Linked DNA regions of Drosophila melanogaster. The protein of the gene in region 2 purifies or fractionates together with the protein of the main gene of each other region. This does not show direct contact. Each region holds a gene or a part of one and is shown on either strand. Other genes may lie near its edges.

Region 1 (7,159 bases), on a different chromosome or scaffold from region 2:
TTTCGTAATAATTATTGATTAAACGTACTCACTCCATGTAAAATTAAAATCATTCCCATGGTTCAAATAGTTCAAAAGCGTGGCATAATTTCCGAATCCATTCCAATTTCAAGTTCAAAGTTGTAGTGAGCGATAATATTGAAGTCATTATCTCTGTTCCCATTAGAATTTAGAACAAACGTGGCTTGACACAAATCGTGATTTTTGGCAAACTTAAAACGCATTTAAGTATTAAAAGTAAATAACTCCAGGCTATTAACCCAAAATTTATTTTGATTGCCTTAATGACTGGCGATCAAACGGTTCGAGTAGACGTAATTGATTCGCCCGATGCACGTTTGACTTGTGCCAATAAATCAATTGTAATGCTGATAGGCGCGTTAAATGTCTCCCTTTTAATAATTGCTGGCCCATTAAATTTATAAGGTAGCAAGTAATTAGCTCACTGAGCAATCCGATTAACAGAGAAATATATAATTTATGCTCGTCTTTACGAGCATATTCGGAAATTGACTCATATGAGTACGAGTGACCACAAAACATTATTGCAAAATCTCGCAATCTCAGTGCAATGCCTAGCCCTCCCATGAACATATGTAGATGCAAACCAGTTCGGTTGAACATACATATATGTATATATATATATATAATTATATATTATATAGAAACCGATCTATAAGAGCTTCGCTTCTCTGGACACGAAGTCTTATCACCATGCTGTCGGCTCCATCGATCGACTCACGTGTTGTCATTTATAAAACGATTACAATCCAAGGCATGAATGACACTCCAGTACCGGTGGCTGCACACGAAAGACACTCAAGACCCCAAGTAAAACTGGAACTGAAGCCGACCAAGCAGAACTCAACTTGAATCGATTGCCGGCTGTCTGAAGTGATCGGGCGGCATTACAAATCGTTGTATCAAATATTAGTAAAAGTGAAAGTAATTGCATACTTACAACATGTCATCCGCGTTGACGAACCTCTTGCAATCGCTGAGAATTGTGCCCTTGGGACATGGAAAGTCCAGTAATCAGGTGGTCGTTGTACCAAGCAAAAAGGAACGTTTAAAACTGGAAGATCTGCCGGAGATCGCATTGGAGGAGGTGGCCCAGCACGACAGCTTCGACGATTGCTGGGTGGTAATCTACGATAGGGTCTACGATGTGACACACTTTCTAAGGGATCATCCCGGCGGCGACGACGTCATTATGGATCACGCAGGGCGAGATGCCACCATCGCCTTCCATGGCACAGGACACTCGGGGGATGCCATCGAAATGATGAAGGATTTCTTGATCGGTCAACTGCCCACCAAGCAGCACATTTTTCGCACTGGCAAAAACAAGGTTTTGTCCCTGGGCATACCGGAATAATATAATGCCAGCCGATTTTGCACCGATCGCCTTCGCCGCCGTCCTCCATGTCGTATATGTCTATATATATATATATTTTTAGAGTATTCATCGACTAGTTTTCTAGTTGTAATCCGCTTATTTCGAATTCCGCTAAACGGCTTTTGCTTAATCATCAAAAACCATACAGACAACTATGTATGTATATTTATATGTTAAATATTTTTGCCAAGACTTGAAACGGATCTAAGATTATATTATTTTAAATTTGATTGTGCTCTTTGATGTTTGTTATCTGATGACTATAAATGGTTGGTTGGGTTGGGCGTGTTTGAGTATTTGAAACTCTTATTTTGTTTGTTTGTTTGATGATTCTGAAAAATGACAGGCTTCTATCAGTGCTGATGGGTAAACCTAAATGACCAAACCCTTTTCCAACGACATACTTTCTACTTCAATAATACTTTATTCGGTAATATTCATCTTACACATATTGGTTGACATTGGGTAAATGCATAAATAAGAAATGCTTATGACAAAAATAAATATCACTGAACAGATTTTCACTTGGCTGCTCTGATAAGAGGCTCCTTATCAACCTCCTTTCGTCTGACTAGTACACAAGTATTTGGCATTTGCTTTCCAATTGACTTAAAAGTATTGCTCATTAATGGATTGCTTATCAGTTGAACCATAGTTTATGGTGGCCCCCACTCCTATTTAACTGCTGCTAGTCGGTGGTTCGTTGTGAGGTCCTTGAAGAAGAGCCTGCAACTTGGCAGCCGCCGGAAATGCACCCAAATCCAGTGGCGCTGCTCCCGTGGTGCTTTGTATATAGGCCAAAAGTCTAAAAGTAAAAGCATATATGTTAATAATTCCTATTGAGCGTGGTAATGAACTACGTTACCTTCTCAACTCCTCGAGAGCATTTTGCTGCATCAGAATGTAGTTCTTAGCCAGCAGCAAGGTGGCTATTTTCGACAGCTTTCGCACAGAAGGCGAATGGGCATAGGGAATCACACTTCTCAGCTCATCAAGGGCATCATTCAAATCGTGCATCCTTCGTCGTTCCCGGGCATTTATGTTCAGCCTTACCGTCTTTCCCTGGCGGTTTTTCTGCTTGCCACTGTTGGAGCCACTTCCGCTGGCGCCACCACTGGACACGGCCACCGTGGTGGTGCCACCACTGATGGCAATGGCTGCGATGGCGGCGGCCGTGGGACTCAATGGCTTCTCCGGAGCACTGGGCCCTGGTTTGTTCTCATCCGTCGGTGGCTGCTGGGACATGCCCATTCCCTGGGCATAGAAACCACCCAGACCAACCGATCCAAGTGGCGTCCGACGGCCGGGGACGCTTTGTGGTGGGCTGGCGGTGGGTGCTGGATGCTGGCCACCAAGCATATTGGCTGTAGGAGGTATTGGCATGTGTCCGTGGTTGGGGAGACCGGGAAAACCAAAAGCAAGATTCGAGGGATCCATTTTTTTGTATTTTATGGGACTTTTCCAGCTGTGAAAAAAAGGTTGAAGGGATGTGTAATCTTTTAGGGTAGTCCTTGCAAATCAAAGTTATTATGATGCAGGGTTGCATAAGAAAACTAAAAAATAGGGGTGAATACTCGTATGCTCAGCTGTTCGGTAGCGCCATCTGTCGGAATTTTATGTATTTAATAGGTTAGCAAAGCTTTTTATAGGTGGAGCATCTGTTTTGTGTTTTAACCCGAAATGGTTTAACAAATTGCAAACGTCTGTCAGGTATTCCTTAAATTTAATTAAAGCAAAATAATCGTTAAGCCTTTCGGAAATTCAAAGCCAAAATATTACGCGGTAGTCAGATTAACAAGATGAATATAAGCTTATCAAAGCTTTTCATAGGTGGCGCTGTGTAGTAGTCCAATTTAAGGGATGGTTTAATATGATGTTTCATGGCGAATACAATTTTAGCGGCATTAAATTTATTTAGGAGCGCAGCACTTCAGAAAACAATAAACTTTAAAATTATACGTCAATATATATAAATAATAAATTTGGCAATTATTAACCCAACGAAATGGATTATAAAATATGCAAAATCGACGCAGCACTTTATTTAACTTGCAGTTAATTCATGACACACTTAAAAGATTATTAATTTAAATTAACCACAAATCACAAGTTCGCCGGTGTACGAAGGGGACGAAGAGCACAGAGCACGGAGAAAGAAATTGCGGATTTAAACATTTTTAAAAATCGCACGCACCACAAACCAGGCAAAAAATTCAGATCCTGAATCGCAATCGGAATCGATGCGCGAGTGTGAGGTGCCCGGCAACAACAGAGACGACCGCGATTTTGTGGTGGGTTATAGTAGTCGCATAACGATTTTCCGATTTTCTCCGCTCACTCTCTCTCTCTCTCTCCCTGCCTCCGCCTATGCTTTCCAATCGCCCGTCTCTTTCGCTCTGTCAGCGAGGATGATTATAAACTTTTTGCCACCGACGCCACCGTCGCCGTTTGGTGTTAATCTCTTTCTGCAGAAGGAATATTATGAGCCACTATATAAAATGTGGGTCGGGTGTCGACGCCGGTGGTTGACGTTTAGTGGTTGGGCTTCGCATAATGCAGCATCCACACCAATACATACAGCACGATTATTACCAATACTCACAAAGGTGAATGAGTCACAGTTTCAGCACTAAGAAAAAAAAATGATTACTAATGATCGAAACCTTTTTGAAACATAACATATAGCATCAGATATACCCTACACAAAATAATAATAATTTCTAACATAAATCTAATCTGCTATTGAAAAGTTAACAATTACATATTTGCATTTAAAAATGGTATAAAATCATACTAATTAATAATCTATTCATTATTAATCATTATTTTGTATATTAAATAAAAGTCTGCATTTTTCAATTGGTTAAGTAATAATTAACTATAACCACACTTGATTGTAACGAAAACCAAAAACTTTTGTTATCTCTCAAAGTTGCATTTAATTGTTGAATATTATTTAGTGCAGTCAAATTTTTTACAAGTGTATGAAGTTTTTAATGCCTTTGCCCTGCCTGTCCGAAAATTCACTTTTCTTGTTGTTCAGGATTTTTATCGCTTCGCTCCTTTTCAACCCTGATGGCCCATCACCACCCCTCGCACCCTGAATCCGCCGGGTCCGCTCCTTTGTCTGTGATTTCAATTTCCATTGAAACTGAATCTAATCACATGCTCACTGCCTGCTGATCCTGGGCCGCCTGGCCAGTCCTGGATTCCTGTCCTAGGGGGTTGAACGAGGAACAAGGACCACGAATAGCCGTCCATAGCCCGTGCATCCTAGTATTTCGCCTATATGCCCATATACAGCATAGCTCAGAGGATGCCGCATCTGCATGGCATTCTCTACGTGAGCGAGTTTGTGCGTTTGCGAGTTGCCTGGAAATTATGGTATCGCATTGTTCAAAGCTGGAACAATGCCATAAATGGCACATGCCAAATATTTTCGTTGGCAAAGGCATAAGCTAGAAAAAGGTATGGAAAATGATAGGAAGTGCTAGGCAGATCTAGGCCACATATTTATTTATTTGATTGTATTTATTAGTTTTAAGCAATCTTTGGGTGTGGGTATATTTTTATTAATTTAAATATAAAAGGACACATTTTTCAATTAAGAGTATTATAAGAGTGTTTTTCAATTGAAATATTTTTTGAAATATTTAGAAATCCGCTGTTTAAATGACAACCTAACAAAATTATCATGAAAATCAAACATTTTTTTAAAAAGTCGTCCGATGAAGATTCTTTGTTAGTGCTGCTCTGATAAATATTTAAAATCAATCAATAGAGAATTTTTTTAATAATAAAATTTAATCGAAAAAATCTGTGAACATTCTTTTTTTTATCGACTTGTAAATTGTTAAGTCAAAATTTGAAATAATTTTTCGAAGATGCCTCTTTTAAAGTTATAAACTTTGTTATTTTACAAGTTCCATAGCTAAAGCAGATGTTTATTATCCAAAGCCAGCATCTCCATCCTCCTGTCAACTGCAATGCCCACTAATGACTTTCCACACTTCGGGCCTCGCAGGACATTTATGTATAAGTGGCGGAGTGTGTGTGCGTGGAGCTGCCTGCAGTCGTTTAGTCCTTAGAATAAGTCAAACTACGAGCACGGGCGACAGACCTAATGACTTCGCGCATGATAAATTTAATAATTTGCGCTGGCAACTTTTCCATTTGGCCTTTGTTTGCGCTTCCCTCCTTTCGTAGGGAAAATTATTGTGTCAGATGTTCGGGGCAGCAGTCACCGTATGCCATTATTTTCAATGAAATCCGGAATCTGGACAGCCCCTCTAGGCAATGCACCATTTGCTGCGTGATTGTGAGAGTTTTTTTTTTTTTTGGGTTTCGGGCTCGGGATCGGAATCGGGTATATTTGCAATCGCAGTGCACTCTCCCTTGTTGTAATTGTTCTGGGACTAATTCAGTTTATATATGCAGCATTTACATTGCAATTTACGGCGCTTCAGCTACGGCCAACACAATCATTTCGACTTTTCAACCCCGGGCCAGCCGAAATTTAAATTTTCGGTTTTTTCATTTTATGGCCACATTTTTATCAATCCATATACATATATATGGGCATTTGTCGCTGTTCCGTATCCGGGTTCCCGGATCCCAGGTCCGGCAAAGGCAATGAGGAATTTCATTATAATTTGCATAATTTATGCGCGACCGTGATTTGCATAATTAAGATTTGTACATTTGTGCATGCCAGTCATCATTAGCTTAGGTTCCGCACTGCGGACCAATTGTAAATGGCCAGCCCAGGGATTTTTTGGCTCGTACCTCGTGATCCGTCAAAGGGTTGTCATGGGTTAATGGATGACCCTCGAACTAAGCCACCGCGGGTATGGACATAAGTGGCTCTATTCATTTTGTGACGCTGTTAACTAATTTTATTAAATTATTCAATGTACTTTTTAACTATTAATGCAGTTTTTTAATATATCACAGTAAATATCATGGAAAATGCTTTTGAACTTTAGTTTTAAGGTATCTTTCATTCGAGCTTTAGACAACTTACAACCCTGACTTTTTCGTCAGGCAAAATTACAAATGCAAAAGCCTGAAAACCCCAATTTAATGTTTGGGTATGCGCAAATTAGACAAAACCATAGAATCCTTGGCTCTGTGGGGCCTTGGCTCGAACTAACGGCACTCCATGGGGCAATGTGAATCAATCATTAGCATTTTATTGTTGAAAAACCAATTGGGCACATTTATGAAGAGGCTTTTTCTGCCCTCCGCCCTGGCTTGTCCTCTCTTCGGAGATTCAGTTGATTCCTGGATATACGAGCATGGCTTCCTAACCTTATTATCGATGTGCTTTCGTTATATTGGCAATATTTATGGCAGCCATGACGGTTCGCCTAATGATTCCCCAGCGTATCGTTTTCAAGGTAGCACTTCCGATCCCCAGGCCACAGTCACACACACACGCACACACACGAACGCACTCCTGGCAGTGCCATATTTTATTTTGTTACTTTTATTGGCAGACGTCAACGAAATACAAAAAATGTGCCAATTGTACGCTGGGGAAATCGCTGCCGACTTGCGTTCAAAATAAGAAGCGAATGAAGATATATTTATCGCTCATTTCCGGCTTGACAGGCTTGATGCCCTTTCGCCATTTGCCATTTGCCGCAAGTTCTTCAAGCCAAGATAAACTTGGCCCATTTAAGCTAACAAAGGCAAAATACAAAAAGCAATTGGAAGATTTTGTTTTATTGGTATGTCAGAAAAGGAAAGATTTGATGT
Region 2 (10,457 bases):
CGCGCAACGAATTGGAGACCCGAAATTGTCATGGACGTCAATTGACAACAGGAGCCGGCCAAAACCAGGGGCGAGAAGACGAGAAGGCGGGAGGGGGCCTGCAGAGCTCTAGGGCTATAGAGTAGAGGGTTAGGTCAAAAGGGAGACCATAGGCAGATCCGGAAGGTAAATTAAAATGGATGACAATGGGATCAGCGAGGGAGGGGGGAGGGGCTGCAGCCAAACGAGCATTAAATGAATTACTGAATGAATAAGTGTGAATAAGTGTCAGTGGTAGTGTGAGTATGTCTGTGAATGGCTCCGAGTGTTCACATGTGTGTGTGTGACTGTGCGTTCGTGGCACGCTGCTCGAGGCTGCTGCAACATGGCCGCCTAATTGTATTCGCGTTAAGCAAACACCTTTTGCCAAATACCTCGATTTTTACGCCTGGCGAGGCGTTTAATTGGGGTTGTTATGTTCGGAGTTCCCGCTCACATATACTCAAATGTATGGGCCGGGTCTTTTGCGCGGTTTGCCTGCGATTAACAGCGTCGATTTGTGACACCCAACATACTTTATTGCATTCGAATGCGAGTGGTTTGGTGCATTGTGTATCTGTCGGATGCGAATGCGATTGGGCCAGCACTGTCACACTTCAAATCAAACTGCCAAAGGACAGCTGGCCCTAACTGTGTAGGAAGGATCCTAATGCGGACTCCAAAGATCCCAGCAGATGGACTTTTATGAACCAGCATTTAATTTTGAATTTCTACTTACATAACTGATATAGAATCTATTGAAACAGCGACTAATTAGCAACACAAAGTGCAAGCTAATTAAAACCATTCGACGATGAAAAGTTTTCGACAAATATAAGAGAGTCAGTGTCAAGTAGACACTTTTAAGTTGAAGAAAACATCTTGCTGTCTTTTCTCATAAACTCTATAGCTGTTTATGTATGTCAGCCGCAAATAGCCCTCTGCTGTCGGTGGACCTCCACCCATTGCAACGCAAATATATTGAAAATGTATTCACAAAAAAATAAAAATAAACTAGGCAGTGCCCAAATCCCTAAAGGCCGAGCAGGAGGACGACAAGGACGAGAGCTACAATTGAAGTTGTTTGTACTTAGAAATAAGCACAAACAAAGTAGTTTGAAGTGCGGAAAATACAGAAGCATGCATACAAAAATAAATAAATACACAAATAAAGGAGCAGAGGGCAATAAAAAACAAACGAGTTTTTGCGGGAATCGAATTGAATTCGTGTGTAATTCGAATGCCAGCGCTCCACACAAACACAGATAAATCCATGAGATACTAAAACTTCCTGCGGAAGCTAAGCCATAACAACAACGGCGACGCACACAAAGGTTTTACTTTGATATTAAATGCAACATCATTATTAAGCCCAATAACAATGGCCAACAACGAACGCCCGGGAAGATGGGCGTGCGCACATGGGAGAAATTTCCCCGAAAAGTCCTTTGGCGTAACCAAAATTTCCCAAACATGCGCGTCAGCGCACGGTGCGCACGGTATAACTCTCCTGCTCGCACGCTCTTCCCATTGGCCAGGCGGCCATGACGCGCCCACTTGACGGCGACGTCGTCGTCGGCAGAGGTTATTACAAGATAAAATTCTACCCCCTCCACTTACCACCTCCATTCCCCCATGGGGAGAATAATGGTGCGAAGTCATGAGCGACAGTGGGGTGCCCACTTTTAGAGGGCGGATGCTCGTGGATAGGGATCATGGAGCTTCCTTCATATACACAACATATATTTATATATATATATATATATATATATATATATATATATATGTATATGCATATTCTGATATATGTATATAGCCCCCAGCCCATATGTAAATGGGGCCAGCCCCAACGGACTCTTGCCATGTTTTCAATTGCCTCGGGCGGATACCCCCAGTTCAGTCTGTCCTGTCGTTTACTGCTCGTGCTGATTATGTATATTCCCATACTTTACTTTCGACCTCCTCGCTCGCACTCTCCCTATCTGTGAGTGTCCGGGGTGTGTCCCGAAGCCACCTCTCAAGGAACGGCGCCATGTATTGGCGTTTGAAGGATCTGCACTAATCACGAGTTGGCTTACGAGTATGAAATCGAAATTCAAATTGCACGAACAGCGACACTCCTTGTACATAAGGCCCCTATGTCAGTGCCAAAGTGGTCTATAACAGTTCCGTTGCACGCAAGAAATTTATTGCAATTCCCAAAGAACGTACCGTGAAGTAAACTAAATGTCCAAGTATAATAGCATACCACTAACACGGCAGAAGAAAATAATGCCTTCGCAAAAATAACGTTCTTTCACCGGTATGGTAATGTGAGAATGCCTTTAAAAGGGTTTTCGCAGTGCGCCTTTTAAGTATTAAAATAATAGTTCGTGGTTCAAAATAAGATTTCGTTGCTGACTAATATAAAATCACAAATATGTGATCAATCCTCCCCAGATCTAATCATGGTTGGTACTCAAAATCTCAAAGTATTACAACCCGACTGGGATTTTAAATGATGAATTGATCTGATTCTTAAATAGCCAACTACATATAGAAAAGGCGAGAGCGTAATTCCAGAAAATTTTTCTTATCGCCCTCGTTCCTCAATAGGATAATGGCTGATATCACCATCTGATATTATCGTGCTAAATGCCGGTCACAATCGCATGTCTTGCCCTGTCCTGTCCTCTCCTTGGACCCACCGCATAGGCGCCACAAGTCGGGGCTGATGTTCCCGCTCCGGAAGTCCAGAGTTGCAGAGAGCTGATAATGATAAATACAATTAAATGACGCGGGGAATGCTGACAACATCAAGTGCAGAGCACTGCTGGAAGAGAACGGCCCAATCCCAGAATCCCTATCTGGGAACGTCAATCCGACGTGCCTGAGGAGGTTCGTGAGGCGCTACAATGGCCTCGCATCCACACTCACTCTCGCGCACACACAAGCAAACATACACAGAGGCTGCAGCACACACACACTCTCACTCAAGTGGCACTCTTGAGAGCGGCAGAGAAAGCAACAGGAAAGAGTTAGAGCGGGATGACGTGCGGCATAAGGACTCGGTTCACATCGTACGTCTCGCTCTGGCGACGAATGGTGGTTGGTTCTCTCGGTGGTTGAATAGGCCACTCACATTGTTGCCGTATCCTTGTTGAAAAGGACATAAGAAGCCACTTAGCGCGCCCAACAAAGCCGAGAGTCTCTCCAGTCTGGCTGTGTGCGTGTGTGTGTTTGTGTATGTGTGTGTGTGTGTGCGACTATCCGAGTATCTGCGTTATGTACCCAATGGCAGAGGGATGCAGATACAGATATGCACCACATACATAGTGATACCCAAAGACACCCCGAGCATACGACCTGGTACTTTTCTGCCGTTGGTTGTTGGGTTTTGGTTATTGGCTGTTCTGAAGCGACTTGGACTCGTGTTGAGTTCTTGATGCCTCGTTAGTTGTTGATGACACTTCAGTTTGGAATGTGTAGAGTGCGCTGCTCCGCGGACCCGTGCAACTGAGAAATCGAGAAACGACTCGCGACCCTTGAACTATCGAACTTTCCCGGTGATAAACTTAAACTTAAGCCTAAATCGAACTATGTCTGGAATTTAAGTTGCCCTACCAGGATACCCGCTTAATTCATCGCAGTGCTACCCAGTAACTACACATAAACATATTTTTTTTCCGTGCTCCGAACACCGTAAAAGCTCCAAAGTGGCGGAGAAACGCAAAAGTCCGCCCACGCCGCCACCCGCGTCGCAGCGTAGTAAATCAAACAGTGGTTCCCCGATATCGCAAAGCGATATGACCACGTCGGCGTCCTTGGAGAGGACCCCCTCAAAGCGGGATCGAGATCGCGAGCGGGACAACAGCAGCGGTCTGGGCAGCGCTGGCAGCTTGCCCGCATCGCCCCAAAGCGCTATCACGGTGAGTCCGTCCTCCCCAGCCACGCCGAAGCGCCCGCTGCGCACCTCAACGCCCTCGCTGGAGCGGAAGAGGGAGCGTGAGGATCGAGAGGACCGGGAGGATCGCAAGGAGCGGCAGGAACGGCACGAGCGAGACAGAGATCACGAGAGATTCGCCGCAGTCTTCAGCACCGCCAGCACCACCGTGCCCACGAACACAAGTTCCAGTTCCGGATTGGCGCCCGAACAGCTCCGCATTCCGACGGGTGCAGCCGCCTTCAGCGGATTTCCGGGGCTCCACAGCATGAGTAGTCTTATGCTTCCATCGTCGGCGGCTGTGGCCGCCGCAGCAGCGGCCCCGTTTCTGCCCTGGTCGCCCATCCTGCTGCCGCCGTGGAACCACGCCCTCCTACCAGCCGCCTTTTATCCGGCGGCCCTGCGAAACGCTTTGCCTGGGTAAGCACAAGGATTCCAATGGAATAATTAAAACATTGATACCTCTGGAGTGGTGAACACAAACCTATGATTCATATGTCTTGGTTACGAAAAGCATATTTTGGTGATACGTTGACACAAGTCCATTCTAGTTCTTCTAATTATGACCTCTGTTTTGTGGGCTATTTATAAACGCTTAAGCATTGGTAACACTTTGATGGCATGGATCTGGCCAAGATATGGATAATAAGGACATGCCTCAGATTGAAACAAAATTACTGACCACCGACAATACGTTTGCCTTTCATGGCTGACCACTTTGTAAAAAACAGATATGGTTTTCAAGGTTTTGGGTTCCCGATTAATTTTCTATGTCTTTCTATTAATTCTCCTAATCTAATAATTTGGAAGATTGGGCGTTGAAAGCAGAATCTGCAGAATACGCAAGACCATTAATTAATTCTCCTAATCTAATAATTTGGAAGATTGGGCGTTGAAAGCAGAATCTGCAGAATACGCAAGACCAGCCATACTTTGCAATTGCCTTCGCCTAAGCTCCGACTTAAAATCACACCCTGCGAGCCTCTGCCTCCATATTAGTGTTTAGATCCCATATAGCTGATGGACTTGTCCGGCTAATCCTGGTAGCTCTTTAAATTAACCAAGCGGGCACAGCGCGCAAGTACAGGACACAGGGTATAATTCCCCGCCTCTTTGATCTGGCAAGTACTCAAGGTCCTGGCGAATGGCGGTTGGGAAATTCTGGCTTGTTGTTCGACCCTGGCTTAGAAATTCCCGTAGGTGAGAGCCAGGGAAACCCCAATCGGGAATGACATGTGTACGACAGACATGGGACTCAGATGCCTTCGAGATACTGGCGTCACACTGTCTGGCAATGGGATTTCCGCTCAGGAGGACGGGGAATGCCCGTGTAGCCTGTCCATAGCGTGGGAAATTCGCGAGTCGGGGTCTTCGGGAAAACTCGAAATGGGAAAACCGGAAGCAAGCAAACTTGCGCCAACATGTGGCACGACCTGTTTCGACCCGTAAAGAGTCCCTGCTGACCTGTGCTGACCTGCACTGACCCGACCAGGTAGCTGCGATCCTTACGAGGCGGATTTGCGTTTAATTGTTGATGGTATTAGGCAAATCAAAACTCGGGGTCTGACCGGGACTAGGTGTCAATAATCCAGCGATTTGGGTGCACTTATTCAAAGTTAATTCCGGGGGAAATGTGCGCGTTTTCGGTTCCGAAGCATGCCTGCAGGATGCACACCCCCCACCTCCTTATCTTCTTAACAACGGCAAGTGCAAAAATCTGTGAAAGTCAGAGCGCTACAGGTAGTGCAGGTAGTTTCCTTTGCATATCCCGACCAACAGGGACCTCCTTTTGTTAAACCTTCCGGCCATTCACACGATTGACACAGGATGTCGCTGCAATAAGCATGAAACAGGGAAAAATCGTTCCACGTCCTCTAAGGAGCCATCTTTATACTCGGGGAGTCATTAATCACTCGATTATATGACAATTTGCCGGGACAATTAAGAAACTACACAGAATCTCAAGAAAAACTATTACAACTCATCTTTGGTATGCTTTTTGCCTTTTTTTCTTTAAAACTGTAGGCGAGTGCTCAATTGAAATGAGAAATAAACATTTAACTCAAATTTTTAGTGTTGAAGTTCAGTTAGAATTAACATATTGATCTCCTTGCAGCTTATTCGATGCAAAGGTGCCGTCGTCCCAACGCTCTGGCTTCCATATATCGGACATCTTGAATTTGGAGGGCTCTGAGCTGAAGAATGCAGCAGCTGCCGCCGCTGCTGCCGCCCACCATGGCAGCGATTTGAGTCACCACTCGGCCAGTGAGTCCACCAGTGGACATCGCGGCCAGGGATCTCACACCTCGCCTTCGGCGCTGTCGCCCACGCCAGCGGGCGTTTCCGCGGACGAGCACCACAATGGCAGCGGGACTGGGGGAGGAGCGGGAGAAGCGGATCACCACAGCACCACCGAGCATCACGCCCCTCCTAGCCATCCGCAGCAACAGCACCCGCACCACCAGCAGCACCACCACCCTCACCTCCTCCTCCCGCAGCAGCACCATCAGCAGGCGGTGGCCCCACTCCCTTTGGCGCACCATCAGAGCGGCGAAGCCCAAAGCCACGCCCATGCCAATGCAGCCGCCGCCCATCTGCTGGCCAGCCACAATGCAGCGGCTGCGGCTGCTGTGGCCGCCGGCCAATATCTGCCCAACCTGCCCAAGAACTTCCCGGGGAGCTTTGGCGACGAGATGTCCTCGTACCACCACATGGCCCAAACCATGCTGCAGCACTCGGGCAGGAGTGCGTGGATCAAGGAGAACGAGCTATACGGTGAGCGAATGTTTCAACTCATAAATGGATACGCATGTATCCATTTTCATTTGCTCCATTTCCAGGAGATAGCTCCTGGCCATATCAATAACCAAGTTAGAGTTGGCTTTTTGAAGAAGCAACACTTAAATGGCAGGTTGTAAGCAAGTCTTTGGATCCCAAACAAATATCCTTTTGAATCGTGGGTAGGCAAAAGAGCAACGAATTAACTTGGTTTCAAAATAGACTCATCAATGAAGTCCGCAGGAAGCTCCCTTTAAGAAATTTACAATTTTCGACTGCATTTAACCCCCGATTAACTGGCCGACTAATGATACTGTTCCGTAACTAACCACTCACTGCTCCCGAGAGCCAGAGAGTTGAAGCAGTCGAGCGATGAGGCAGCTGTATTTGCATACCCTGTGGACTCGACGGATTCACGTGCTTCCAGGGTGTGACAAGCTTTGTTTAATTCTGGCCCTGTTGTGTTTTATTTTCGTTGGCAGTTAACTGCGGATCGAAATGGGTATATAACTGGGAATCAAGGAGCAGGGGTTGGGCTTCCCCTTTAATCATGACTAATAGTTTGTATGCGCTTCACACTTGAGGATTAGCCCTGTTGTTTTTCTGGCAGTTGACGTCCTTCGTGTCCTTCGGCCAGGACATTCAATCGCTGCCCGCTCGATCGCTTCTTGTTGTTGCGGCCCAAACATTTCTCATCCTGGAAATTTATGGCACGCACTTCCGCCTCATCCCTTCCCACTTCTGTTATTATTCCTTTATTGTTTAGCTACAAATTATAGCTGCTGCCCACTTGCCGTTTTTTTATTTTCTCTTTTCTGCTCTTTTTTTGGGAGTTTCCACAGCTGTGAAGGAGTCGAGGAAGAGTCATTTTGATTATATTAAGTTATTAATTTGTTGAGTTGTCATGGTGAGCGCATGGCTTCCGTGGCAGGGCAAATGCGGCTAGCTCGGTGGGAGCTGATAGGCGAGCATTAGGAGCTCCTACGACCCTTGCATTTGTTGTTTTATCAATGTCCCACGGGGACATCACCCCGGGCAGGTGAATACACACATTAGAAGACATTTTATGAAATACATTGCAATAGGAATAGAAATGCAGATAGGACGCGTTCCGATTCTTTGGAATGCTGCCTTCGCAGCACTATATCCAAAAGTTCGAAAGCTAGGAAGAACTAAAGGGCTTCTTTTTGATTTTCTATAGTTACATGCCTCGTTTGAAGTTGCCTGAATACTGGCATAAGCCCACTTCTAATACCTCTGCAACCGCAGATCCCGCCCCAGAATATCAGAAATAGCCACACCCGGCGATAAATCACTAAATCACTATCTGTTGGAAGTTCGGAACTCTTGCGAAAGGGGGCGAACCGGAAGAGACCCGGCTACCATTGATGTGTTTGAGGTCTGGCTTTTGTGTCGTTGTCCCATTAGTATCCTGGTTGCTGGTTTTTAGTACAGGCCCAGGATCAGCAGTCATTCAGCGAGAGATCGAAGCGATCGTTTCAGGTAGACGACAAGGGAATACCCACCTAGGCATGTATTTTTGTATGTATTTGTGTGCGATCTCTGTTTGTCTCCGCCTAATTGGCGTTGTTAGGGTGAAGCTCGTAGGGGATGGGCAGGGGTTGATTTGACGCTGCGGACCATAAGGAGTGCATACATCTGGCATTTGACATTTGGATCGTTTCCGACCACAGCTTCATGTTGCGCCTAATCCAATTGCCGTAGTTGCGATACTGACTTCCCCCTTTTGTCCCGAATTCTGCATGATCACTTGGACGATGTGGAGGGGTGTGTCGCTACATTAATTTACGGCTAAAGAGGTTTCTCAATTGCTGACAAATTCCCACCCAGGGCTCGCACCCTGCCATTGCCTTTCCATTCTGTAGGACCATTGTGAAAAATGCAAATAAATAAATGGCTATCCCAAGCAATTTATTCCTCAATTAGCAGCATATTAAGAAGGGAGTTTTCTCCCGGTTTTAGCCATATATCTACTACGAAGAATTAGCACATTAACCAAAACCTTGATTTCCTCTTTGATTTCAGGTACCCAGCAGCCCGCCAGTCCGGATAGCACCTCCCCAGTTACCTCGGAAGTGTCGTACACCTACATTGGTTCCAACTGCCAGACATCGCCTGCCCTTTCCGGCGATTACAAGAGCTACAGCCGGTCGGCCGATAGCGATGCACTATCCGTGGGCGACGCCCTGCACACCCTCCATGGATCCTCTGGTAATGGAAGTGCCGGAGGCGCTCCGACGGCCCATGCCCTACACAACAACAATAATAATACGACAAACAACAATAACCACAGCCTGAAGGCCGAGGGGATCAACGGAGCAGGCAGTGGTCACGACGATAGCCTCAACGAAGATGGCATCGAGGAGGATATCGACGACGTGGACGACGCCGACGGCAGTGGCGGCGGGGATGCAAATGGATCCGACGGTCTGCCAAATAAGAAACGGAAGCGACGAGTCCTGTTCACCAAGGCGCAAACATATGAGCTGGAACGTCGGTTTCGACAACAACGTTACTTGAGTGCCCCGGAACGCGAGCACCTGGCCAGTTTGATCCGCCTGACGCCGACCCAGGTGAAGATCTGGTTTCAAAACCATCGCTACAAGACGAAGCGGGCGCAAAACGAGAAGGGCTACGAGGGTCATCCTGGTCTACTGCACGGCCATGCCACCCATCCGCATCACCCCAGTGCCCTGCCATCGCCCCGTCGGGTAGCCGTTCCAGTTCTGGTGAGGAACGGAAAGCCCTGCTTGGGCGATAGTTCCAAACTGGGAGCCGACTGCGTCTCCGTGTCATCAGCCACCGCCACCGCCATGCAGAATGCCGCCGCCCATCACTTGGTTGCCCTAAATGGAGCGGCCGCCTATCAACATGCCGCTGCAGCGGCTGCCGGCCTTCACGCCCACGCCCATGCTCATGCCCACGCCCACGGACACGGCCATCCACACGCCCACGCCCAGAGGGCCGCCTGGTGGCCCTAATATTGCTAGGAACTGGCATTCACGGGACTGGGGGCGGATAGGTGGATAGTCAGGCCCGTGGAGCGATGAGCCAGAAGACCACGCCTCCAGATTCCCAGTGAAGCCAAGTAAAAGAATATACAATAATAATTGAAACACATACAAACCCCTACTAGCGCTCAGTCTCCCGGACTTATCCTTGAGTCGTTTCTGTACATAGTTCATATATATAATCATATATATACCTAAATGACATAAATTTATCCATTCCTGGATATCAGACCAATGCCCATGACAAAAGAAAGCTACATTTCCTTCTAAATAAAAATCAATTTGCATAATACTAGTGTCTCTTGTCAAGCGCATTTAAGTCGCATAAAATTTAGAAGTAGATTCATTTTTTTTATTTTTTTTTTTTAGCCCTAAGTCCAATCCCAAAGATAAAATGTGTAAATATAATATAAAAATGAAGTAAATCTGAAAAATAGATTATTTCAAAAGAGAAATAAATAATAGGAAATATGCAACTAAATCTGTACTATATACCATATAATCAATTCAAGCGTAATAAGTGTTCAAATTTTTTAGACAAAACTTATTGGCCTTTTTTTTCTATGAATACATATATAATATAGGCACTTAGTCCTAACACATATTTTTTTCGTGCGTGTGTGCGTGTATAGAGAGTAAACGATCTTTGAATTTATAGCAAGTAATGAGTTCATAAATTGTAACAAACAACAAAGACAGTACGCTGC
Region 3 (7,627 bases), on a different chromosome or scaffold from region 2:
ATGCTAGTTTTTATTCCCAATTCAATACGACACTCGAACCACTGTACTTTTGTGCGATTAAAAACTTTGAGCTGGTCATGGTAAAGAAAAGATTCCGATAACACAGACAGCAGACAGGGCACATAATAATAATCAACAAAATAAAACGCACAAGGCACGCGTAAAAGCAAAACAATTTCTTCTAAAACTGAAAGACGACTAAGGCAAATATTAGCCATGATTTCCCCATTACGAAAACAATAACAAAGTAGATGCCGATAAGTGGTGAATTGCGGGGGGGGGGGGGGAGTGTGTGCGTTGCGTTTACGTTTGAGGAACAGGAGCCCCAAGAACAAGTCGCAGAAGCAGACTATCCATAGAAGAACAACGCAGCGCTGAATCATGCTCGAAAAATACGGAAAATATAATTTGGTTTCTTTGAAGACCGATTGGATTAATACTCTTAATAAATTACGATGCAGGCTAGTTTTATCAGTGACTATCAATACATAACTTTTCAGACTTTATCTATTCGTAAGTGCTTAGCAACCGTAACAAAAAGTTGGCACACGATAACAATGGCGTTTATGTTGCAGTTCCAAAAAGGTTTTAACGAAATTTTATAAATCACCATTAGGACCATTGCATTTCAACATTATGAAAATGATCTTTAGATCTGATTATTCAAATCCTGTTTTACTCTTTTAACATGAAATTCTATAATAGTTTGGGATTATAATAATATCCATTGTACAAAATATGGAATCCAATGAAAACAGAAACAAAATCCCTTTTTAAAATCTGGTTACATTGTAGATCGGCTTGTTTAACATCTAAGAATTTATACATATCTGGAAAACTTGTGAACAGAATTATTGTTATAGCGCCTCCCGCGGAAAGCACACGGAAAGACGTATAGCGGCTTGTTTAACATCTAAGAATTTATACATATCTGGAAAACTTGTGAACAGAATTATTGTTATAGCGCCTCCCGCGGAAAGCACACGGAAAGACGTATAGCGGGGGGTGGTGGGGCGGTCGAAAATGGAAAACATATAAAATTAACATACACACAGAGGAGCAAGAACAACAACAAGAACGATGCCGGCAGACGATGAGCGAATGCGACAGAACGAATGGCGAAGAAAACGAAACGAAGACGAAGGCGAAAGGCGGCCGCAAACATTTGAGGTTACGTTTTCAGCGAAAAGAATGCGAGTGGGTCGGTCTTTTATTTTATTATTTTTTTTTTTGTTTTTGGGTTGTTTACGAGAATTATATCTCCATTTCTCCCTTTCGGTCCTTTCGTGCCTCCCAAGAAGCCCCCCAAAAAAGGAGAGACAAGTGCAGCATGCGAAAAGGAAGAGAGAGAACGCGAATGCTGTGCCCCTGGAAGCTCGCACACACCCACACTTCTAGGGGAGGGGGGTATATATAAAAACAAACATAAAGATAAACCATAAAAGAGATGGCGGACAAAACAAAGGAGGTGCGGCCAATAAGTAATTAGGAATTAAAACCATTTGAATTGTTTAATATTTTAGTTGGTAGTTAGGCGTTCTTATTGGGAAAAGCACATATATACAATTGCAAGGCGTCCCGAGAGAGAGAAAGAGCGAGAGAGCACACACACACACGTAAGAGGGAGCTGAATGGTTTGGCGGGGGGACGCGGGGAGAAGGAAGAAGCAGAGCAGCCAAATGGCCACCGCTCAAAAGGAAGAACACGATGGTATAAGGAAATAATGAAACACACACATTCGCACACATACGCACAATCGGAAAAATTTGTTCACCAACCAAACAAAAAGAAAGGAATCATATAAATTATTCAGGCACACACTTAATTGATTTTTACCTTTTTCGGGCAAAATACGAATTAATTTCGCAAACTATTTATACATGTTTGCATATGTACAAAAAGCGGTCTGGAAATGCACACATACACTCATGCCGCCGAAATGGAAAAGGAAACCCGATGATGACAATGTAAAACGAAACAGGAGTACTTTACGGTTTTTAGCTGTTTTTTTTTGTTCATTTCCTTTTTTGAAACACTTACACATGCACTTAAAAAAGCCTTCTCGTTTGCATTTCCATTGATTTGATGGTGTGTGTGCTTTCGTTAAATACGAAATTTAGATTATTTAAATTACAATTATTTACACAGGATGATGAAGAAGAAATCGGCCAGGAATTTCTTCAACGTCGCCGCCGTCCGTCGCAGAACGATAATAAAAGCGAAATGCAAAGACACACTGGCCAAATACAACTACAACAAAGAGCTAGAGAGAGAGGAGAGAACAAGAACCCCCCAAAATGAGAGCAGTGTTGGCAAACGTGCGAAATCAACAGAGAGAACGAGTGAGCATGCCCACAGAGTGCGAGAGAGAGCAAGAGCGGGGGTGCGAGCGCAAAAGACCGACAATTTATTTTACTTTTATTAACATGCGCGCAAAATATTTATATAAATTGATTACACATTTTCTTGTTCTTTTATCATCACCCCCTTTTTTATATTCACCCTGGCAAATGAATTACGCTGCCCCAGCCAAATTGTTTATATATTATTTATCAATCGATTTTAGGGGCATGCCAAATTTGATCAGACGCCAGTCGCACACAAACACACACTTGAGCACACACATTCACAGACCAACACTCGCGCATACATACACACGCACCAGGGTGTTTGTTTTGTTTTTGTTTGCGGCTTTTTTTTTTATCAATTTGTGATCTTTTTTCGCAGCCGCAAATTTGATTGTGATTTACCGCCGATTGGAAATGTAAACAATGCTGTCGAACTATCAGCATAAGGCTGGCAGTTTTAAAATACTTTTCATATTTTATAGCTGTTGGGTACTCACACCTTAGCTTATTTGAAAAATTTACATATTACAAGCACGCCGTTCTAGGTCTGCTTCTTCTTACGCGCGAACATTTAGTGTGACCGCAGCTCGACCGTTCAAATATACCATTGCGAAGCGCACTGAGAAACACTCTCCAATAGTTCTAAGATACCAAAAATTTAGCATACTACTATATGTAAGTTATAATTTCATTTACTATCCCATTAGAGAAATTAATTGATTTTTATGTTCTATAATGCATTTAACTAGTTGCCCTAGTTTTAATGTTGTTAAAATAGCATTACAACAATTACCGTTTATAACTTCACTTTCTTCAGAGTGACCATATAATGTAAAGTACAGTGAACACTGTATATAAAGAATCAATACAACCATGGATTTACATATTTTTCCATCTGGTTTATATCAATAGATAATATATGTTAAATGATATATATAAAAACTAAATTACACAAAATTTTTTTAGGTATAGTAGGTTTATTTAAACTTGTATACGATTGAAATTTCTGCAATCAAATCAAATTTGTTGTTACAATAAAGTTCAGTTCTACTTCGGAACTTGAAATCTTCCCCAAATATGTTATTTATGTGTTATTTATTTGGTAATTTCAATCCAAGTTGAAATCGTTTTCCGAGCTATGTGTCGTCATTACAGTGCAGTGCAGTTGTAAACGGTTTGTCCGATTTCTCAGCAATAAATCGGAATATATATGTAGACAAAGTGTGTTGTTTTAGGAGGGGAAGGTTCTCTAAAGTCCAAGTAGGTCCTATCCATTTTTGTGTTTTCTTCTCTTACTTGCAGATTTTTTTTCGTTTTTTTTTTTTTGCTTTTACAACATTCTTTTTTTTTTGTGTTGATTTTTGGGGAGGGGTGTGTGGAAATGTTTATAAATTGTATGTTTTAGGCAGCTACCGATTCGGAATCGTTGTAGTTATCCGAAACATAACCGTCGTTGGCATCATTTTCGCCATCGGAGTTCCATTTGAGGCCATCTCCTTTGGTTGGTGTCCCATCCACGGCACGGTCCTCGTCGTTCGACTCCTTCTTGGAGTTGTGTTGGCCCTGATCGGCGGAATCAGCATCATCTGCATCGTCATCAATATTTTTCGCTGGGCGACTACGGGGCTTTGTTGTTTCCTCTTTGGACACCTTGCCAGCGGCAAGAGAGGGACGTCCACGTTTCTTCGGCGCCACTACCGTCTTCTCAGGCGAGCTGTGTTCCTCCTCCCCGGAGTTCTCATCGTCCTGATCGTCGTCATTGTCCTCGTGCTTCTCGACGGGTGCAGCATTGGCCTTTGGACGACCGCGCGGACGACCGGTGGGTACGTAGCCAGTACTGCCACCGCTACCCGACTTGTTCTGTGGTGGACGACCGCGTTTCTTGGGCACTTGTGGCTCCCCATCGCCATTGGACTCGACAGCCCGCTTCTTGGGTCTTCCCAGGCCGCGTCCCGTGCGCGATATGTTCAGGTTGACGGATCCAGCCGACGGTCGGCCCACTGGGCGACGTTCTTCGATGCTGCTGTTGCCGTCGTCGTCCTCATCCTGATCGTCTGTTTTGAAAGAAACAAAGCAATGTTAGTTAATAGGTATAATAATGAAATGAATCCAGGAATATATTTAAAGTAATATTTGTGAAGGTAAATCAATGGTCTATCGACCATTTACATATTTTTGATTTTGATTGATTGCATGGTTGCGGAATGTTGAAATCATGACTCTACCTGTGATCTTCGAAAAAAAATCACCAGGTAGCGTAAAGATAAAAGTGCAAGTTTGGTGGAAGCAAACAGTGCTTAAATTTCCATTAATTGAATTGAGACCATGAAATGTTGGGGATTTACGTACTAACTGCACTACCATAGGCTCACCTTCATTCTCGCTATCGCTGGGCTGGTGCTTCTTGGGCCTGCCGGCCTTGCGCTTCTTGGCGGAACCGGGCGTCTTCACCGAATCCCCGGATCCTGATCCGGCGCCACCACTGCTCTTGGGTCGTCCCCTGCCCTTCGTCGGCGAGGGTGATGAGTTGTTTGCAAGCTCAGCGCCGGAGCCATCGCCATCGCCGTCCTCCTCCCCCTCGTCTTCGGGATCTTCGTCATTTTGGATTTTTGACGCCTTCGGTGGGCGACCCCGCTGTCCACCACCGCCACTGGAGCCCTTGTTCTTGGCGGGACGACCGCGCTTTTTGATGCCTGGCGAGATTGCTGCAACCGCCGCTGTTGAAGATTTACCACCGACGGATGCCTTTGACGGTCGGCCGCGCTTCTTTACCGCAACTTCCTCCATTTCTCTGTACGGGATTCAATTAGCAAGCGAATAAAAAAAATCCTTGTTTCTTCGCGTCCCCTCACACACACACGCGCACAAATGCTCTCTCTCACGAACACACGCTCACTCTTTTCGCTTGGCTCCGCTCTTCTTCTTCACCTTTTTGTTTGCCGAAAATCAAGCTGGAAAAATATACAGAAAAACAATTTTGCATTAGGGCTTGAATGCGCATAAATGCTGCAAAAAATATTCTCAAAAAATTCTTAAAAATTCTAGTTTTTCCAGATCCGAAAGGGAATTACTTGCGTTACTTACTTTGCCTTCTCAATTTGTAATTGTAAAATACGCGCACGCTAGTACAGTTCAAAGTAGTGATGTAAAAAAAAATATGTCGGTGCATCGAGCAGCGATAATTTTTGCGATATTTTTTTCGATTTGATATCGATTAAGCGCTGCATCGATGCGTTCAAAATTGAGGCCGTTTAATTTAAGTTTGCGTAAAACAATTCCCTTTCATTTGGTCATATTGCATTTTAACTATGTATTAACATAAAATGAAACGTAGCTTTTGTGAAAAACTCTTTTTACTTTTGGAAATTGTAAGGTGTAAAAATTGTCTACTTACAGTTTAGGAATATCAAAAGAAACAAATTTATAAAAAACTTGAACTAAAGCAATAACCAAAAATTATTTTTTGAACTTCCTTCTTGCGTGAACAACCAAGTTAAGCTATCCATATGTCCAAAAGTTAAACAAGTTTGAAGTGACTACATGAGACGGCTGGCCTACTATTTTAAAATATGGTATGTTGTGTTCAAATTTTTTTTTTTGCTTGAAGCGCCAAGCTCCAAGTTTTTAAAACAAGAGAGTACAGTTTAGAAGCAACCGTTTATTAAATAGTTACACATATTGCAGTTTATTAGGCTAATCACAGTTGAATAATTAAATACTATTTAGTGGGCGCTCACTTCCACAGCTTGATGACACCGTTTCGCGATGCAGATGCTATGTAGATCTGGCCCTTGTCCTTGCACATCAGCAGATCCGTGATGGCATCGTGGTGACTGGCCGTTGGCATATCCGGCCCCGAGCGGGGATTCTCCTCCGTGGACGATCGCAGCTGCTGCGAGTCGCCCGTGCTGGCCATGGAAATGATTTGCTCCTCGATCACTTGGCTGCCATCGATTAACCGGGCACTGAAGGGTGGAATGAATTGATAATTTTATTATATTATCATTATAATAACAGATCAATAATTACCCATAGTTGAAAGCCACATCTGCCAGGTTGTCATTGGCAGCGGGTACTTTAAGCGATGAGTTCTTTGGGTTGGTGATGTCCCAGTACCGGATCCGCTGATCCGAACTGCCGGTGAGAATAAAGGGTGAACCATCGACCACGCCACTGAGAATGCCGCACGTGGTGGCCGGATCGCTGGGACTAGCGCTCGATAAAGCCGCCACCGGACTTGCCCACAAAACCGTCTGGCGCTGTCCCGTTTCTATATTCCACACGGATACCTCATTGTTTGACTGCGAGGCTGAGATCAGGTATGAAGGCTCTGTGGGATGGCAGGCCACCTTGCGTATCCACGAATCCGCCGGATGCTTGATTTCCGCAATGGGCAGACGGAAGCGTAGATCCCAGCAGATGTGCTTACCGCCGCTGGTACCGGTGGCCAGCCAAGATCCCGTTGGATCCGCACAGATCGTTGTGATCACCCCATGACGGAGTTCATTCTGTAGCCTCCAGGCGCTGTGCTGCATCCTCGTGTCCCAGGCCACAATGCCGCCATATAGCGTGGCGTACACGATGACACTTTGCGTGGCCTGATCGTAGGCGTGCATGTCCACAACAGGACCGTCTTTATGATCACTACGAATGAAATGATTATGTTGTAATAGGGTAATTAAGTAAGTGAAGTCATCTTACTTTTGATTTAGGGCCTGTTGAAGCGTCATTTTGGCGGAATTCCGATCGATTCGCATCATCAGCATGCTGCCATCCTTGCCGCCCACCGCCAGCGATTGTCCACTATCACAGGCCGCCAGTGCATAGATGGGTGTATTGGCCGAATAAACCTGCCTCGATTTGTTTACACCCTGATTGCCATTCAGTTTGCTGCAATCCCACAATCGCACTGTGCCGTCTATGCTGCCGCTGGCGAAGAGTGATCCGTGGGGCCGCAATGAAGCCAGCTTGATCACGGATTCCGAATGCTCGTGCAGGTGAGCCACCAAAGTGCCAGTCATCCGCCAGCCTGGCGGATAGGGTGTCACCAGCTTGTCGTAGCTGCAACGCTGCGAGATGGCCAACACATTGTAGCGACTCTTAATCTTGGCCGTCAGCGATTCGAGATCCTTGCGGCACTCGGAGGAGCGTTCCAGCCAACAGTTTCGTTCCGGCATTGTGTATTCACCCAGCGAAGTGGCCGCACTCACTGTGGCAGTTGGCACTCCAAGGACTACGGCTCCAGAAGCCGGACTTCCGGCCAGTCCGCCAGCTCCCAG

Evidence for each region.
Region 1: the proteins of vnd (region 2) and Oli purify together in Drosophila melanogaster (affinity purification with western blotting, with the first as the bait; one study listed by BioGRID). This does not show direct contact.
Region 3: the proteins of vnd (region 2) and D1 purify together in Drosophila melanogaster (affinity purification with western blotting, with the first as the bait; one study listed by BioGRID). This does not show direct contact.

Annotation. Positions count from the first base shown.
Region 1 is NT_033779.5:17,585,917-17,593,075, reverse strand, and holds Oli (olig family), read right to left. Parts: upstream 3,893-7,159; 5' UTR 3,497-3,892; exon of another isoform or gene 2,865-3,496; 5' UTR 2,837-2,864; coding exon 2,265-2,836; intron 2,205-2,264; coding exon 2,078-2,204; 3' UTR 1,809-2,077; downstream 1-1,808. Other genes in the region: Sytalpha (synaptotagmin alpha), read right to left, coding at 743-752; CG6870 (uncharacterized protein), read left to right, coding at 965-1,378.
Region 2 is NC_004354.4:587,592-598,048, forward strand, and holds vnd (ventral nervous system defective), read left to right. Parts: upstream 1-3,450; 5' UTR 3,451-3,803; coding exon 3,804-4,360; intron 4,361-6,056; coding exon 6,057-6,715; intron 6,716-8,764; coding exon 8,765-9,720; 3' UTR 9,721-10,228; downstream 10,229-10,457. UniProt on the Drosophila melanogaster protein: Probable transcriptional regulator involved in the regulation of the proneural AS-C genes and the neurogenic genes of the enhancer of split complex. Could specifically activate proneural genes in the ventral-most neuroectoderm.
Region 3 is NT_033777.3:9,234,770-9,242,396, forward strand, and holds D1 (D1 chromosomal protein), read right to left. Parts: upstream 5,886-7,627; 5' UTR 5,743-5,885; intron 5,499-5,742; exon of another isoform or gene 5,433-5,498; intron 5,300-5,432; 5' UTR 5,136-5,299; coding exon 4,721-5,135; intron 4,403-4,720; coding exon 3,750-4,402; 3' UTR 3,314-3,749; downstream 1-3,313. Other genes in the region: Vps15 (vacuolar protein sorting 15), read right to left, coding at 6,082-6,313, 6,378-6,992, 7,050-7,627. UniProt on the Drosophila melanogaster protein: This satellite DNA-associated protein is a double-stranded DNA binding protein specific for tracts of pure at DNA. It may play a role in organizing the higher-order structure of euchromatin as well as heterochromatin.